4 linked regions of the Yarrowia lipolytica genome follow. The protein of the gene in region 2 purifies or fractionates together with the protein of the main gene of each other region. This does not show direct contact. Links are inferred from orthologs where the notes say so. Each region holds a gene or a part of one and is shown on either strand. Other genes may lie near its edges.

What was found.
Region 1: the proteins of YALI1_D02087g (region 2) and YALI1_B08627g purify together in Saccharomyces cerevisiae (affinity purification with mass spectrometry; 3 studies listed by BioGRID, with this or other methods). This does not show direct contact. The link is inferred for Yarrowia lipolytica from reciprocal best matches to the Saccharomyces cerevisiae genes MRPS5 and SWS2.
Region 3: the proteins of YALI1_D02087g (region 2) and YALI1_D10865g purify together in Saccharomyces cerevisiae (affinity purification with mass spectrometry; 6 studies listed by BioGRID, with this or other methods). This does not show direct contact. The link is inferred for Yarrowia lipolytica from reciprocal best matches to the Saccharomyces cerevisiae genes MRPS5 and RSM7.
Region 4: the proteins of YALI1_D02087g (region 2) and YALI1_D07981g purify together in Saccharomyces cerevisiae (affinity purification with mass spectrometry, with the first as the bait; 3 studies listed by BioGRID). This does not show direct contact. The link is inferred for Yarrowia lipolytica from reciprocal best matches to the Saccharomyces cerevisiae genes MRPS5 and EHD3.

What each region holds. Positions count from the first base shown.
Region 1 is NC_090771.1:860,051-864,493, forward strand, and holds YALI1_B08627g (mitochondrial 37S ribosomal protein uS13m), read left to right. Parts: upstream 1-2,664; coding exon 2,665-2,715; intron 2,716-3,355; coding exon 3,356-3,775; downstream 3,776-4,443. Other genes in the region: YALI1_B08616g (uncharacterized protein), read right to left, coding at 1,112-1,603.
Region 2 is NC_090773.1:206,442-210,970, forward strand, and holds YALI1_D02087g (mitochondrial 37S ribosomal protein uS5m), read left to right. Parts: upstream 1-2,317; coding exon 2,318-3,256; downstream 3,257-4,529. Other genes in the region: YALI1_D02063g (uncharacterized protein), read left to right, coding at 386-1,295; YALI1_D02085g (uncharacterized protein), read right to left, coding at 1,497-2,075. UniProt on the Saccharomyces cerevisiae protein: Component of the mitochondrial ribosome (mitoribosome), a dedicated translation machinery responsible for the synthesis of mitochondrial genome-encoded proteins, including at least some of the essential transmembrane subunits of the mitochondrial respiratory chain.
Region 3 is NC_090773.1:1,084,338-1,088,529, forward strand, and holds YALI1_D10865g (mitochondrial 37S ribosomal protein uS7m), read left to right. Parts: upstream 1-2,260; coding exon 2,261-3,265; downstream 3,266-4,192. Other genes in the region: YALI1_D10858g (mitochondrial 37S ribosomal protein mS35), read right to left, coding at 368-1,546.
Region 4 is NC_090773.1:795,496-800,364, forward strand, and holds YALI1_D07981g (mitochondrial 37S ribosomal protein mS47), read right to left. Parts: upstream 2,609-4,869; coding exon 1,187-2,608; downstream 1-1,186. Other genes in the region: YALI1_D07945g (uncharacterized protein), read left to right, coding at 1-1,031; YALI1_D08000g (uncharacterized protein), read left to right, coding at 4,520-4,869.

The sequences.
Region 1 (4,443 bases), on a different chromosome or scaffold from region 2:
CAGTCGAAAGCTTTGGTGTTTCAACGAAATGTGTCACATGACAAACTTGCTGTTCTTTTTGAACCAGTTTGCGCAGTTTTCCATCTCATGGCGGATTATTCAGCAATTTCCGCTACATGACAACCTCACCCTACCATAACTCCTAGCAGGGATAGTGTAGAGATGAAAGCCTAGCAGAAGAATCCCGTGAATATCGTGTATAGCATCGCTGCTATGTCCTTGTAGACCTTAGGCCAGACCTTTACTGCCATTGCTACAGTAAGTGCAGTATGTACAGTACATACAATACATCCGGTTCAACTACTCTTGTCCTGATGACGTCCCATCTCCACAAGGCCAGTAAACACTGTTGAGTCCCTGTTGAAGGACCTCTTTTCTTAATCATCTTGTCAATAATCCCACAAATTGTCGTTGGATTCAACAAGACCAAAGTTCAACCTGAGTACTGCTCATCTATACATATTCTCGGATCCTGAAGTCTTTCCTAGTTAGTGCCGGCGACTGTCACCCTTCTATCATACGGCATCACTCTCATCGCCATCTACTGGTATTCTATACTGATCCAGCTGTTGAAAAGTTCCTGGCTCAGATAATAGCTAGCTTCAGTCATGACTCGGACCAAGATACCTCAACATCCGCCATTTGATGGTTGACTGTCTGGGGATTTGGTTCTTCTGGATCAGGGGCGATGAACGACAGTCTGGTCATCATCAGATGCCTCCACCACAGCCTAGGATTCCATATCGTCAACCTGAACGGAGACTCCAAGTGTCTGACTTCCGCTTTTTCTTCTCTCGAAGACAATGTTTCATTCCATGACCTCAGTGTCATCTCTACATCGACCTACTGGAGCCGAATGTTGCGTGCGTGCTTTCCATTGCTCCGGCACTGCCTCGTAGACTTGCACGTTCACCTCTTCAAGTCCCTTCCACTCAACGATGGCTACAAGTAGCTGGTCTATCTATAACTCATATATTACCATCACGTGAGTGGGCTGTAGCGTTCTGTACATATTTTAGCACGGAGCATTGTGATCATCAGTGCTTTACGTGAGCGTAACATGTGACCCACTTTCTGTGAAAAAAATGATTTGTCACACTCACGGTCCATCTCACCGTTTTTTCTGGCTCAACACGGCGCCCAGAACAGCAGCTCCCACCGCAATGACTCCTCCCACAATAGCAATTCCAATCATGCCCTCCTTGGCCAGCTTGTCCTCGATGATCTGACGCAGCTTGGCGCTCTGGGGGTCATCGGGCTCGATCTGCAGCAACAGGTCGCAGTATTTCCGAGCATCTGTGTATTCGCCAAGCTTGTAGGAGCCGATGGCAAGGTAGTAGAGGCACTCTCGACGTCGAGAGGGCGTGTCCTTGTACACCTGGGCCAGGATCTGCACTCCCAGCTGCTGGTCCTCGACCTTTCGAGACTTGATCAGACCCCAGGCATAGTTGAAGCGGGTCTGCACCGAGACAAAGTCGCCCTCGTTGTTGTACTGTTGAGAAAGAACGTAGAGCTCTTCGTCCGAGAGCGGAGACTCGATATCGACGAGGTCTGTGTTAGAACGGAAGTGGCTGCAGTCCGGGGAGTTGGGGGTAGGTGTCATGTGACAGGGTTGTTGGAGGTAGATCCAACGGAGTAGAGCAAGCAGGTAAGGAGTTCTAAAAACTGGTATCAATGAGATGTAGAAAGTGCAGTAACGTATCGACGGTCTCAGTTGCGTCTTTGGCCATGGTTTGTAGAGGACCACTGTAGGCAGCGCCGATTCAACCAGCACCAATGTAAAGTCAACACTGATTGAATCAACACCGAATACTATATGAACCTCCGCCACGCCGCCTCCACTGCCTCAGAGAATATCCTTGAAAACAACTAAATTGACCACTCAAAATTTGGAACCAACACGTCATAGACAAGTCCAACCAACCGCTCCACTCCATCACTTTCACCCACCAATCGGCGCAAACATGGGTATCTCAGGACTCATCTCAGCTGTCGTTTCAGCTGTCGTCTCAGTTGTCGTTCCAAATCGCTTGTCACCCTAACCCCTCAAACACCCTCCCCTCGCCTCAATTCCCTAACCCGGCTCTCCATCAATACTCACTGGGCAAATAGTCCTCCTTCTTCATGGTTGTGTATGGCGGATAGTACATGTGTGCGGGATCGAATATGTAGGGTTGCTGCAGTGGCGAGTCACGTGAGCGAACTTTAACGAAAATTAAACGGAGTCACAAAACCGGCACACAAAGAGCCTTCAGAATGTTTGATAACTCGGTCGCAGGTCGATATCACTAGACTAGGGACCAGGCATTATCCGCCCCCGTGGCGCTAACGAGCTTAGTCATCACGGAGTTAGCATAAAACCTTATTTCGATATGTGCAACCTTATCGTTGTTGGCCAATGAGAGTGCTGTTTTTTAAAAACCGCAATACCGCTTCCCGGCAGAGTGACCAGAGAGCACGTGTGTTGAGCGTTCTGATGAACACAAAAACCGCGTTCAAACGGCGGTATTTCCCTCCCCACTTCCTACATCTCAGGGTTAGGGTAGGGTTAGGGCGGATGCAGAACCTGTACTATATCAAAAGTCTGGGATAGGGTTTGTTCTTGTGGGAGGTCCTGACTAAGCGCAAATTTCACACACATCACCAAACACACATACAGCAAAAATGGTGGTTCATATTATGGGAAAGCGGTTCCAGAACACCTGGAAGGTTTCTGTGAGTATTTCACGGGTGACATGGAGCGGGTGATGACTTGTTCGGAAAAGATGGAGCCACAAATGACCGAGAACGCGATGGATCAAACTGTGAGATTTTGTCATGTGGACATGTTGAGCTGATAAGAGCTTAGGCGGATGGGAGAAGGACGGGAGAGTGACTAATGATGGGGTTTCGGCGGCGACAAGTGATTTACCGACTTTCAGCTTTCGCAAGTAGGTGAGAGAGAAGAACTGGTGTGATGATATGAACGTCACACATCCGACATGTACGTGACACGGGCTTGTGCAAACGGCAGTATTGACAATTGAGGACGGTTTACAAGGTGTTCCGAGACTCAAACTGTCGTTTAGTCTTGTTTTCGAGACTTTTGGCCCAAAAGAGAGTGATACCATCAACCAACAAATAACGTGTACCCAGGATACGTACATGGACGAAAAAGAGTGGATAGACGGCCTATCTACATCTAAGATCTGGTATTCAGCGCAGGTTAAGACCGATGAACACTGATTTTTCCAACCAAAAGCATCAGATCTTACACCTTACATGTCGACACCCACCATCCTTCCCGAGTGGCGGATTCCACCTGCTTTCTTCAGTTTTGCTCTATTCTCCCCTGCCTCGTGACATACTAACTCAGTACGGACTGTCTCAGCAAGTGTTCGGCGTGGGTCCGTTCCAGGCCAAGCGGCTATGTGCCAAGATTGGCCTGTATCCTGGCATGCGAATGGGCGAGCTCACCCAGGGCGACATCATGGCAATTGTCAAGGAGCTGTCAACCAATGTGACCATCGAGTCCGACCTGGCCAAGAAGATCAACGCCGACATTGAGCGAAAGCGAAAGACCGGCTCGTACGTCGGTCGACGACACGTCATGGGTATGCCCGTCAAGGGCCAGAAGACTCGAACCAACGGAAAGAACGCCCGACGGTTCAACCGAGTGCCCCGACGACACTTTGGCTCCGTTTCCGAAGCTCTCGGCTCACTGGCCAACGAGTACAAGGCTGCCCCTGGAGCCGAGGCCAAGGGCATCATGGGATTCCTATCCAAGTTTTGGTAATGTATATAGTCTGACCGAGGTTAAAAAATGAAATGTTTGAACGCAAGCGACAAAGTTCCACACTGGTGGCACCGTCAGATAGTCGTCTACGAGGCGATGTCAAGTTACAGGTTTGTCGTATGTCAATCCAACAAAAGTGTAAACTACTGTAGACTCCCAACTAAAATGTTAACTAGACTCAAGTACTAAATCTCCAAATGTCAAGTAATTAAACATAAGTTTGTCGCAACTAACAAACAAGGGTGTAACACCAATAAAAAATCATACGACGTGTTTTTGAAACCACCTGCCTCGCTTTTCTCTACTAGTCCAACCACAGTTTGTGTTTTTCCACGATTCTTGTCATCGCCTTGCTTTTTTTTTGCTGTTTTTTGCTTTTTTTTTTTTTTTTTTTTTTTTTGTGCGGCTCTGAAAAAATTAAGCTCCGTCGTAACGTCAGACTAAAACGACCTTTGATCCACCCACCCCACAAGACAACGCAGCTTTCGGCTAAGCCATTACAACAGCATACAACTTGCCCTAGAAGAGTCCGATTTGTCTGGAAAATTTTAAAAAACATTTGTGAAGCCCACATGACTACTCAGTTCAATTTTCAAACCGAAAATCCCCAAACCGCGTCTTCTAGATCACGATGGTTCTTTTCGTCAGATCCAACCTAATCAAAACAT
Region 2 (4,529 bases):
AAGGGTTACAGACACAGACACAGACTCAGGCTTTGGAGTGACACTAACAGCGACCACACCACGCTCATACGTTACAGGTCAGGTACCACCACACTGATCGGAATGTTGCTGTTTTGTTGTAATGTTTTTTTTTTTTTTTTTTTTTTTTTCCCCACCAGTGGATGTTGTGGCACTGCCAAAGTCACATTGTGACCACAACCTGGTTATGATACGGCTAGACTAATCTGCTGCGTGTGTATATTGTCGAGTCCTCCTGAAACGTGTTCTGGTTATATGCGACTCTCGAACACTGTTGCAGCTGTGCTTTGGTATCATTGTCTGACATACTAGCTTGTCTGACATACTACGAGCAGTTCCACTGTTATCGTCGTTCCGGCTAACACAGTCCCCTCATCCTCCTATCCAACCGCGACGAGTATCTATCCCGCCCCACCGCAGAAGCCTTCTTCTGGGACGACAACGTCCTTGGACCCCTAGATCTCGCCCGGGAAGAGCAAGGCACCTGGATCGGATGCAACAAACAAGGCAAGATCGCTGTGATTCTCAACTACCAGGAGAAACGCGACAAGGATGCCATTGGCGACATCAGCCGCGGAAAGTTCCCCAAGGAGTTCCTCCTCTCCAATGAGTCGCCCGAGGAGTTCACCAAGAACTTCAAGAGACGATACCCCGAGGACAAGCTCCAGGCCGCTGGTGGCTTCTCCTTCCTCTTTGGCCAGGTGGATTTGAACGGGAAGACACAGTTCTCCATCATTTCGAACCGTGGTGGCGATCATGAGTGGGTGGCAAGGGATCCAGAGGACCAAACCATTGGAATCTCCAACTCGCTGTTCTGCAATCCTTGGCCCAAGTGCGCTCTGGGAATTGAGCGGCTGGATGAGGTAGTAAAGGAGAGCGTGGAGTCTGGAAGCAGTCGCAAGGAACTTGTGGACTCGTTATTTGACGTTCTTTCACACGACACGTTTGATCCCGGCGCCAAAAAGGGCGCCTCCGAGCAAGAGATCCACCATGCCCTGCGCCAGTCAGTGTTCATTCCCGTCATTGCTGCTGCGGGGTACCAGGAAGGCCAGGACTGGAACGTGACGCACCCTTTTGGAAAACACTATGGCACTCGGACACAAACCATCATCATGGTGGGTAAAGACGGACAGCTGCGGTACTTTGAGAAGACTCTCCATACAAAGGACACTGACGAGAAGGAGGAGCATCCGTTAGTTGAGCATGTTTTCGAAATCAACAAGGAAAATAAGAGCGGGGGAGGAGGTTCTGGAGGTTGGAGGTGTTTGTTGTCGTGAGCAACAGCAGTTAACAGGTGAGTGTAGTCGTGAACGAAGACGACAAACCCGCCTCAGAGGCACTGAGTTTCTGTGATGTAGTCGTGACCTTTCTCGGCATCCCGCGATCTTCCGATTCAGATTTTAAATAATGCTCTATTGATACTATGTGAATTACAATCTCCATGCCCGTGGATTCTAGATCCTTCCTATTCCTTTTGCTTACTCCTTGGACTTCTTTTCCTTCTTGTCTTTCTTTTCCTTTTTCTCCTTCTTGTCCTTCTTGTCCTTCTTGTCCTTCTTTTCCTTCTTCTGCTTCTTTGCAGAAGGCTCCTCGGTCGTCACATCCTCCTGGGATCGCTTTTTGGTACTTGTAGATTTAGATGCAGTCTTCTTGGTCTGGCTAGCAGACGAAACAGGCATGGCAGAATCCAGTCCGTAGTCCTCGGGTCCGTAGCCAGTAGGGAACCATCTCTGATGCAGACCGTCCACCTTACCAACAATGGGTTTGGGCACACAGACCTGTTCGAGGTCGACAGGAGGCAGAGACACCTTCTCGACGAGCTGCAGCTGCTCGGAAACGGTCTGTTGGGTGGCTCCAAGGTAGTCCGCGTCGGTCTTCTTGCCGAAGACAAACACATTGTGTCCTCCCTCCATGGTCTGCAGAATGTATGTCTTTTTTCCGAGGGTGACCTCACCGTCGATTTCCAGCGGCTGTGATGCGAGGTCGGCCATTTCGACGCCCTTGGGGAGCTTGATAGACCACAGGGTCGTGTTTTCCTCGGGCAGGTCGGCGATCATGATGGTTGGTGTGTGGGTGTGTGGGTGATTTCGAAATTGAATATGCGATATGCACAAATTTTTGATTAAAGTTTTTAATTGATATTGAGTTGACTTTGGTGGAAGTTGAACTGACAACCATTCAGAATGTAGCCTTTAATTCAACTTTGGGCGGAGTCGAACCAGCGGGTGAAAATTACCTCGCATTTGTGTGATTTTGCACAAACCAGATCACAAACCAGCTCACACAACTACAGTCGAAAATGCTCCGACAACTGGTGAAACAGACCCGTGTGGGTTGTATGGCGACCCGAGGCTACGCCAACACCGCGGCACTCGCCCATGAAGAGCGGCTCAAGCACCTCAACTTCCTGTCGCAGTACTACGACGCCGAGACGGTCGAGTCGATTCTCAAGGCCGAGGCTGCCATCAAGCCTGAAGAGTGGGCCGCCAAGTCGCCCCTGTCGCGAATGTCGCCCGGCTACTTTGACGACTTCACCGAGCACGATCCCTTCTACGATCACGCTACTAACAAGTGGACCAACTTTTCGCAGCCACGACAGCCAGTGCCCACCGAGCACGTGCTGGGAACCAGCTCGGCATACCCTCTGGGCTCGCTAGAGACCGGTGACGAGACCGATTCTATTGTGGACACAAAGTTCACCGAGAACATCGAGCCCCAGTTTCACGACAGAATGACTCGAAACACCAGACTCCTGCTAAACAGAATTGTCAAGAGTCAGACCGGAAAGGGAAAGAAGATGCAGTTCTGCGTGCTTGTGGCAACTGGAGACGGCAAGGGAATGCTTGGATTGGGCGAGGGTAAAGATCCTCTGTCTTTCCCTGTGGCTCTCGAAAAGGCCATGTGGAAGGCAACTCGATCTATGAAAATGGTGCCCCGATACCAGAACCGAACTATCTACGGCGAGGTGTACAAGAAATTCCACGCCGTGCATCTGACCATGCGGTCTGCTCCTGCTGGTCACGGTCTGCGAGTCAACCCCATTGTGTCGCAGATGTGCAGCATGGTGGGTATCACTGATATGACCTGTAACGTCTACGGCTCGCGAAATCCCCTGAACGTGGCCAAGGCCGCCTTTGAGGCGCTCACCCAGGAGCAGGTCATCCCCGACTCCATTGCACAGATCCGAGGCAAGAAGCTCGTTAACCTGAACGAGACCTACTTCGCCAAGTCGGATTAAAACTTGTATATAGCCTATGAAGTGCCCTCGATTAAAAAGAAGGAGTGGACCGTAGTCAGATTGTAGAGCGAGAGTGTTTAAGCAAACTTCAACTCTCTTACGTGAAAACGTGACTGAGCAAAAGAGCAGTACAAGTACAAGTAAATACTGTGTACTTAATGGCGGAGTAGTCAGTCAAGATACCTTCTTGATCCAAAGCCACTCAAAGATCTGTTTTCCAGACAAAGGTGATATACAACAACGTCTGCTTCTACTTGTACTGGTATATACTTGTACAGTATGTCCTCTAACCCGCGTTTTGCTATCGCTGCTACTGGTACACCACAGTGTGCCTGCACACACGGTACTACAAGTAGCGGTATTACTTGGCGAATTTTTATCAAGAGCCGACGAGACATGAGACTAAGTTGTACCGATATGAATAAAATGCCATTTTGAAGTCCCGCACTTTCTAGCAGCTTAATAGAAGTTATGAACTGAACTATTTCAAACATGACTACAATAATCTACCTTAGCAAGTTCTAGAGGTCATGAGGTACGCAATAACCAGGTCTAAAAGGCAGTATAATCAGAAAAAACAGCTGAGTATGACTCTGATAAAAAGGTATAAGGAAATGATCAACTTAGGTACATCGAATCCCTACATTTTTTGATTAGTTCTCTCAGACACCTGCTGCATCACTACAAGTAGCCACAGTAGAACCACCAAATGCTACTATTTCGAGACGGAAAATCTATACACGAGATACTAATGAATCCATGAAATAGGAATATTCTTTAATATGGACGAAATTCTGCTTAATTTCCCCGTTTTCGCCCCTTCGAAACACCATTCTCGAGCTTAGATGTATTCACCACACCTTGCTCTACACTCGTTGGGCGTGTAGCACAGTGGTAGCGCGTGGGCTTTGCATGCTTGAGGTCACCGGTTCGAACCCGGTCTCGTCCATTTTGCCCTCAGAAGCAAGTAATTTTTTTTTGACTGTTGATGTAAATGGTAGATTCCGAAGGCTACGACAGAGATATGTGTCTGGCGGAAGTGCGCAGGATTGAAAGATCATTATTTTCCTAAGTAAGGTTTAACTTGACCAAACTAAAAATATGACATTACATAATGATTAAGTAATAACCAAGTAATACCGGGCAAAAAAAACACTGATCAGCTAGAAGCGATGGGACTCTAACCCATATTGTTTCCTCCACTGCCAGTTCGTGAGAACTTGACATGGACAGGAATTGAACCTGCAACCCTTCGATTACAACCGAAATGACT
Region 3 (4,192 bases), about 880 kb from region 2:
GTAGGTGAGTAGTGGTTGTAGCTCGACATCCCATACACCTTTCTCCATGACGTTGAAGTATGGCTCTCGACAGTACTTGTATATCATAGAGAGTGTGGGGGCCATGTCTCACCCATATGTAGCATGCTTGATAGGGGAACTGTACAAGTACATATCCAGACTTGTCTTCATACACGAAGATGGGAATTCATACCGTGATTGCTGCGTTGCGAAGCCATGTACAAACATTCGTACTGGTACCAGTTTTGGACAAATCTGGCTTCCTATCTAGCACAGTACGATACAACACCTAGGTGCCTTCGTCTGGCCTAAAGATATAATGGGCTACACACGCTTGCGTTTGCTTGTTACTCATTTACTATATACATTACCCGAAAAGAGCCTTGAAAGCGGTCTGCTTAGCCTTGTCTTCAGGTCGGTTCCACTCCTCGGGGAACTTGGCCAGTCGGTATCGGTCTCGCTTGGCGATGCGCTCCGCCTTGTTTCGGGCGTGTCGGGTGTCCAGAGGCACGTCCTCGAACGAGTCACCTTGCTCGGCCTCGGTCTTGAGCTTGAGAATCTGAGTCAGCAGGTAGTGCTTGTTTTCGGGGGCAGAGGGGTGTCGCTTGCTGGCAAACTTGCACTGGCCGGTCAGAGCGTCGTAGTTCTGTCCAGACAGCAGCTTGAACTTGTGCAGGCCCTTGTCGGAGAGACCCAGGTTGGCAGGGTCAAAGTAGCAGACCACCTTGGCCTCTTCGTCGGCCTCCTCTCCGGTGTACGAGGTGTACTTGAAGGTCAGGGGAGAAGCCTTCTTGTCAGCCTCCTTGACATCAAAGGGCACATGATAATCGACGAGTCGGGGGAGCACGTAGGCAGACATTCGCTGGAGGTGTCGCATCTTTCGCACCTTCTCCACCTGCATGTGTCCAGCAGTGGGGATATCGTCGTACATGAACTCGTTAACGTGATCAGCATCCAAAAGATCGTCGTCCTCCTCATTCTTCTCAACGACGCTATGCTTGCCGTGGTAGGCGGATCGGATTACGCCAGCGTCGGCTCCAGCAACTCGACCAGCTCGAACCAGCTGTCGCAGTTCCTCCTCGCTCTGGGAGTAGGCCGATCCGAGCTTGAACTGTCGGTTGTGAAGACGCGTGACCACCTCATGGAACTCGAGGCCGGTCCAGTTTCTGGGGTCTAGTTCCTCGTCGCTGAATCGCTCGGGATCCAGGTTCTGCCGGGTCTTGAAGCCCAGCTCCTCAATGGTATCCAGAGCCTCCTTCGTCTTGGCGTCGAGCGTGTACTTGGCCTCAAACTGGAGCTCCTCGACTCGGTTGGTCCGGGGAAGCAGAGAGGCGTCTGCAGAGGGGATCTCGGAGGGCTCAGCAAACGGAGTGGCTGACTCAATGCGCTTGTCGGTTCGGAACGAGGGCTTGGACTGATCCGAGGGAGGAACGTCGGTCGAATCGGACATGAAACGAACATGGGTCACGGCGGAGGCCCGGCCTACAACCGTGGCTCGTGCAAACGCTCCCTGGAGCACCCTGCTTTGGTTTGCCAGTCTGAGCATGTTGTGTGATGATTATGAAAATGTTCAGTGGTGAGAAGTTAAAAAATGCAGTGAAAATGGAGGAGAAGCGGGAGGGTTTCCAGAAATGGCTGTAAGAAGGCTAGAAAGATGAAGAAAAGAGGAATCAATAGCCCATGGTTGGAAAAGTAAATCTAAGGTGTTTTATTCGCAAAAAATGACACCATATAAAGATCTTGTGTCAACTAGGAAAAACCCTACCCTGATAACTAAGCAAAACCTTCTTCATACTATAGAGCTGGACGACAATGGGAATTTGAGGAGGTTGAAGAAGAGATAGATGGGTGAAATTTAGTCGAAATATTTTCGCTGTGGCAATATATATTCTGTCAATTTTTCAAGGCTGCAGTCCTCAAACTCCCCATTTTACTGATACCCATATTCTCTCTCCGAAAAGCTAAAAAAAGTCGAGTGACCGAAATTTCACCTCAAATTTCACACACTTTGAGGCTGCAAGGATTGTATTTGGAGATATAAAGAGGTATGTGATAAATGATGGAATGGGAGCATAAATGACAAAATGAAAAAAGTAAATATATACAAAAAGACAAGCTACTTCACCTACAGCCTTTATTTCTGCGAATTTACCGCTCCTTGGCCCCCGCTCCAACCCCCCCAGGTTCCACCGGTACCACCTCTCCTACACCCAACTCAAACTAACTTTTCACTCTCACATCACCATCTACACACACCACCATGCTGAGAACGACTTCAGGACTAGCTCGGTTCTCCGCCCGTCGCGGATACGCCTCGGCGTCGCCCGCCAAGATCCTGGTGGGTCTGAACGTGCGAGCAGACCGATTTGACGGCGACCAGAAGGCCCTTGCCCAGGAGCTGGCCGTCAACTCCGATCTGGGTGAGGAGGACACAGACGCTATTGCTGCCAAGTACACGGAGCGAATCAAGGCCAACGCCGTAAAGCCCATTGCTCCCGAGACCGCCGAGGGCCATGCTCGACAGTGGATTGCTCTGTTGGACGACATCAAGGCCAAGAGCATGTCGACCGAAAAGTTTGAGGGTAAGGACGCTCTGGACATGCAAAAGTTCCGAGAGACGCTGGACAAGTACCGACAGGAGAGCACTGTTTCCGGCTTCTTCAGCGACGTTTCCGCCAACAAGGTCGACCCCATGGCGCTCATCGACCCCACTTCTGAGTCGCAGTTTGAGCAGGTCATCACCGGCAAGAACGGTAAGAAGGCTCTGTTTGTGCCCACCGAGGAGCAGGTGGCCGAGGCTGAGGCTCTCAAGACTGCGCCCATCCCCAACAAGGTCGACGGCGAGTTCGAGGCCCATCTGATCAATATGATCATGAAGCATGGCCGAAAGAACGCTGCCCGACGGCACTTTTACCAGGCTATGGAGCTCGCTCAGGTCATGATCAAGGCCGACCCCATTCCTCTGCTCAAGCAGGTCTTTGATGACGTTGCCCCCGTCTGTGTCATCAAGTCGACCCCCGTTGGTGCTCGAAAGGTCCAGTACCCCGTTCCCATCACCGAGCGACAGCGACGACGAATAGTGTGGAAGTGGTCCGTCGACAACGCCGAGAAGCGGCCCAACCGATCATTCTCGGTCCGACTCGGAGAGGAGATAGCATCCGTCATTAAGTCCAAGGGAGCGTCGCTCATGGAGAAGACCCTGGTCATCCACAACCTCGCCGTGGCCAACCGAGTCCATGCTGACCCCAGCCGACCCCGAAAGTAGAGTATTGTATATAGTTAAGGAGAGAACAGATCCCGATATCGAGGAGCTTACTCCGAGAGAATGGGCGTAAGAATGAAACACGAGATCCGTGCATGAGAGCTTGAACAGTATAATAGTATGGTTTATACGCTGCTCAAGATCACTACGACTCAATCTCACTGTAGATACTCAAACAGTGGTTAGATAGATCTCATTGCTTTACTGCTTTGAAGTCGCAACCAGTGGTATGTTTCTAGAGCTTCACTCTGAAAGACGTCTCCTCTGTAGACTAGATGGGGTCTACTGTAGCTTGAAGGAAGAGAGTCTCTAAAGATGTTGTAATTACGAAGTCCAAGAGTGTTTATTTTCCCTTAATGTTTGTCGCTTTTCCCTACAAGTAGCATATATGTACTTGTACTTTTCGTACCGGTACCAATCTGTACTTGTATTCGTTCAGTGATCGACCCTCTTTACCCTCCATAAATTTACATGGCTTTACTTGAGAATTATTCGCATTACTTGGCCCATCCACTACAGCAATCAAATACACACCCCTCTAACACATCACAGTAGAAGTAAGAAACACCATTCACACAGTCTCAGACTTACTCGTAATAAAAATACAGCTATTCATTCTTTATAAATTAGTAGCATCACTCACAGCTAAGACAACACTCCTTCTCCCTGAAAAATCGTCCTGGTAGTCTTACTTGTAGTTTCCACAAACTTACATAAAGCCAATATGCCTCGTGTTAACTCCGAGGGGAGCATCTCAAGGTGCGAACCAAAACGTGGAAGAAGAGTCATCTATAGACAGCAAATATACCCAAAACAATGGTACGGCTCATGGGAGCGGATCTGGATATTCACAATTGTTCTCTGCTGACATTAAGAGAGGTTGCTGACTGCAGTGCCTGGCTTTGCCCATCGTAGCTACAGTACATAGTG
Region 4 (4,869 bases), about 590 kb from region 2:
TCGCCTGCGGAGCTCTGGATTTGGCCTGGCATGATCCAGATATGATGAAGACGGTCCAGAAGCACTATCTGGCGGCAATTCGAGCCCTGCGAAACAAAATTGCGTCTCGCGAAGTCAACGGCAGTGAAGACTGGCTGTTTTCAATCGTCCAGCTGCTGACCACGTTTGAAAAGCATTTCGGAAGCCCAACTTCGGCGGTTGTACGTCATCTCAGTGGAGCTCAACGAGTTCTCAGAGAACGCCAGCTCAAACGGGTCTACGATGGAGGCGAAATCTTTGCGCTCAACAAAAACGACCGTGTTCTGATGGAAGCGTTCCTCTACAACTACTCTGTGGCCATTCTCTTTTGCAAGAAAAGCGATCTGGTTTACCTGAGTCCTCCCTCGGTGTTTGACGAGTTCAGACCGTACCTTCAGGTGGCTCTTTACGAGACCCAAGTGTACTGGTCCAACAATCCCATTCTCGGAGCTGGGTTCATTGTGTTTGAAATGTGTGCGAAGATCAGCTGGATCGCCCGCAAGGAAGTACTCACAATCGAGGACTCGCAGAATATCAAGTCGTACATCCGAGCCCTCGAAATATGGTCCGTCCCAGACATTCAAAAGACACACATGACCGATGAGCTCGAGTACCACAGCTTCATGCAGCACATGTACGCCTCCCGGGTGATGCGACAGGCCGTCATTCTGCTAGCCAAGAAACTGCTCAACCCAGACCTCCAGGAAACATCAGAGGAGGTTGTAGGACACGTGACCGCGGCCGTTGAGGAGCTTAAGTCCATCGAGCTCGGCTCCTACGTGTCCTGTATCATTGGCTGGGCCATGGCCATCGCCGGATGTGCCGCCACGGAAAAAACACACCGAGAGCTGTTCAAGTTCCGCGTCGAAAAGTTTGGTGAAAACTCCAGAGCCGCCATCTTCAGACAAGTTATGAAGCTTTATGGGCTGGCCTGGGGCCTGGGAGAGGACCAGAAGGAGCTGGGACTGGACATTATTTATGAGAGAGACGTGCTGGAGAGTATGGCTTTGTAGGATGGCCACCATGTATTGTACTTTAACTAATGTATTTATTCACTATTGTACTGACAATATCTTCAGTCTTGTTCAAATCATATCTTTCTTATATACACGTCATCTATGTCATTACTGCCATAGTGTACAAGCACACCGCCTACGCTCGTACTCGTCTAGTTAACCCAGTCAAGAACCTTGGGCTCGTTAGGATCAGGCTTGGTCTTTCGCTGCATCACCTCCTTGACCTTCTCGCTCACACCAGGCTTACCAGAGTACTTGTTAGTAAAGTGGTTGACAACCTCGGCAGGGGAAGCCTTGTAATCCGACGATCGGGTCTCGCCCTTGATGTACTGCTCAATTTCCACCTCTCGGGGCAAGCCAAAGTTCCAGGGGTACTGCTTGTAGGTATCGTTGATGACCACCTCCATCTCGTCGTTCTTGGAGCCGGGTCGCTTCTGGATAAACGACTTGACAATCTCGGGAGTCACGCCCTCGAAAGAAGAAGGCTCCCACTGGGGCTCTCGGGCAGGCTTGTCAATGAGCTTGGCGGTGACACCTTCAATGAACTCTCGAGAGTGCATAAAGTTCTCGGCGTAATTGCACTCATCGTTGAACACGGACTGAATGTCCTGGTTTCGGCCTCGTCGCAGAGCGGCAAGAGTCACCTTGACAGAGGTAGGGGATCGCTCGCCCAGGAGCTTGATGATCTTCTCACCAGCCTCACCCTCCTGCTTCAGAGCTGCCACAATGTCCTCAATGGCGTCGTACTTGAAGGTTCGGTCGATCAGAGCTCGGAACTCGCCGCCGTACTGGAACTTGAAGTTGGCAGGCACCTCCGAGTAGTCGTTGAGCAGTGCGTTGAGCTGGGAGTACAGCTCGGTGGCGTCTCGGCCCTTGGGGATGTCCAGAGAAGCGATGGCCTTCTCCAGATCGTCTAGTCGAGCGGAGGGGATGTAGTGGGTGGCGAAGCCGGCAGCCACAGCCTCGTAGCCCTTGAGTCGGGACGAGGTCAGAGCCAGGAAGGTTCCAAGCTCTCCGTCGAGTCGGGGCAGGAAAAAGGTGCCGCCAACGTCGCAGAAGAAACCAATTGAGGTCTCGGGCATGGCCGAGAGGGTGGTTTCAGTGGCCACTCGGAAGGGAAGGTGCATGGAGACACCCAGACCTCCACCCATGGTGATGCCATGGTTGAGCGCAATCACGGGCTTGGGGTAGACGGATAGCAGGAAGTCCATGGCGTATTCCGTGCAGAAGAAGTCTCTGGATTGCTCAATGCCCTGGGCGCCTGCAGCGTTCTGCTTGGCAAGAGTAGCCACGTCACCTCCGGCACAGAAAGCCTTGTTGCCGGAGCCCTTGAACAGCACGACATTGGCGGAGTCGGATTTGAGCCACTCCTTGAGGCGGGGGAAGATGGCTCGGCACATGGGGTCGTCCAGAGCGTTGAGTTTCTTGGGCCGGTTGAGGGTGATGGTCCGGGTGGTGCCGTTGTCGCTGAAGAGTACAGGCGACTCCTCGGCAGCCGCCGTGGTCTGTGACATGAATCGGGTGTTGATTTGAGCTCGCAGGGGCATTCTAGTTCGGGCTAGTGTTCGCAACATGTTGGGTGTGCTGGGTTAGCTTAGTCTTTTAAGGTCCCCATGTTGGGTGGTTAGGGTAGGCTGTATTGTGGTGGGGTAATCCAAGGCGGAGATAAACAGGTGAGATGGTTCGTGGGGGGCGCACAGGACATAAGCACAGACAAGAGACAGCGGTCAAACGCACCGAGTCGATTTCGCGTGCTGGTTTGTGGCCCCTGTCTGTGTCTGTCTATGCATCATTGTTCTTAGCACTGGCGTCTAGTGTCTAGTGTCAAGTAGCTAATGTGGCTTGGACCGTCCGTCTGAGTCTGAGTCTGATTGTGTCTACTCACATTGTGATGTGTGTCGCACTGTCGTGTACAAGGTCAAGTAGTGGTGGTTTGGAAACACCCCATTAAGTATCTCTGAGCCACCACCTCCCTCCCACAACTCGGCCGAACGTCGGAGCTCTCTTTGTGTCCCTTCCTGTACAGTGTGTGGGGTAGACAGACACACAGCAATGTCTCCAGGCACGGGGGTATTTGATTGAACCGGTTCGCGCAATGCGGGCAAAAAAGAGCCGACCACAATGCGACACGACACGTTTCCAGAGACTTCAGCACTTTTCTCCATCACAGCTCAATTCCGCCTCAAGATGGAGACGTTTGCAACACCAGGGGTTGTATGATGTACCACTCAATGTGAGCAGAATTGCTTTCAATCTTGCTCGTGGACTTGTATAAAGAAGATCAGAGCTGCTACCAGCTCTTTCCCTCGTTGCTCTTGTCCCTCATCCTCCTCTTTGATACTCACGCTCGGTCTGTGATCGGAGGAACAAATTATTTTACCTTTGAAGTTGATTGTGGAACTGCATCCAAATTTTACCCGTGCCCGAGAGATGGATGTGGGTTCGATTTCGGGTCGACTCAATTTAACGCGATATATTTCATGTGCGAAACAGACGAAAGATACGACGAACAAGTGAAAAGACATGGGAAAGACGTTGAAAAGTAACATCAAATTACTGCAACACATCAAACGACTGAATTTCTCTACCGTTGTTGAGGTCATTTGGCCATACCTCCTCAATCAATGGGCCTAAGAAGACACCAGAAATCTCTGAAAAAGGACCTTACAACTCTGAAATTTGAACTGAAAAGAACACAATTGTACAAGATACAAAATTTCCATCGTTCAGGACTTTAACCTCCTCAACACCCCCATTCAATCGCCCATTACAATCACACCTCGTATCAATCACTGCTCCACTCTTACTATACAAAACCTTGGGAGAGCACAAACCAAGAGCAATTCGACAAACCGAGAGCAATTCGACACTATAAGTACGGTAAACACAGAGTCGTTGCGCTTCCACACGGTCCCTAAAGACCCCAGATGTCTGATAGTGTCTTCAGGTCCGTCCAGCCCAACCTCACAATGTCGTCCAGAACTCGTTCAAATGAGAATATTCCAGACTGGAACCGGGAATGTGCACTTTCAAAGCCAAATTAAACTGACAGTAAGAAGCTCAGCCTGTTCGTGATGGTCCAACTACCTCATCAAGGGACCTCCATGGTGACATTCATTTATAGCCGATTGATTAGTCAGCGAGAGTTTAATACCTTTTATGGTTCTCGGCTCTCTCTCTTTTGTTCCGTGGAAAAGAGGACTTCAAAATAGGCATGCTAGGTCCGTTTTCGACGCAAAAAAAGTACATGAATATGTTCAACAGGCGACAACAATTATATGTACACGTTTAAATCCCCTCTATTCCCCCCACGCAACCCTCAAATCAACATGGTCTACAAAAGCATGAATAGCTCGATACCCCAACTCTAATAATAAATTAAGGTCTGATACTCCTTGAATGTCATGTCATCGATTATTTGCCCTTGTAGATAGACGCGTGATTTACCCAGACTCGACTCGACGCTGGACAAGAACCCGACGAAGATGAGCACCGAGACACAAAACGAGGTGCGTTCGCGCCACGTGACCACCGCCAATGAGCAGCACCCGAAAATCCATTCTGCCGGCCCCGTTTCCGAGGCGGACTTCTTTTGGACCTACCAGGAGGAGCCCCATAGATCTCGACGGATGGAGATCATCAAGGCGCACCCTGAGGTGACCAAGCTGACTGGACACGAGCCCCTGACCAAGTGGGTGGTTCTTGGAGTGGTTTCTCTGCAGTTTACATGTGCCTACCTGCTTCGAAACAGTCCCATTTTGAGCTGGCCGTTTCTGATCACAGCTTACGTGATTGGAGCCGTGTGCATCCAGAACCTGTTTCTGGCGATCCACGA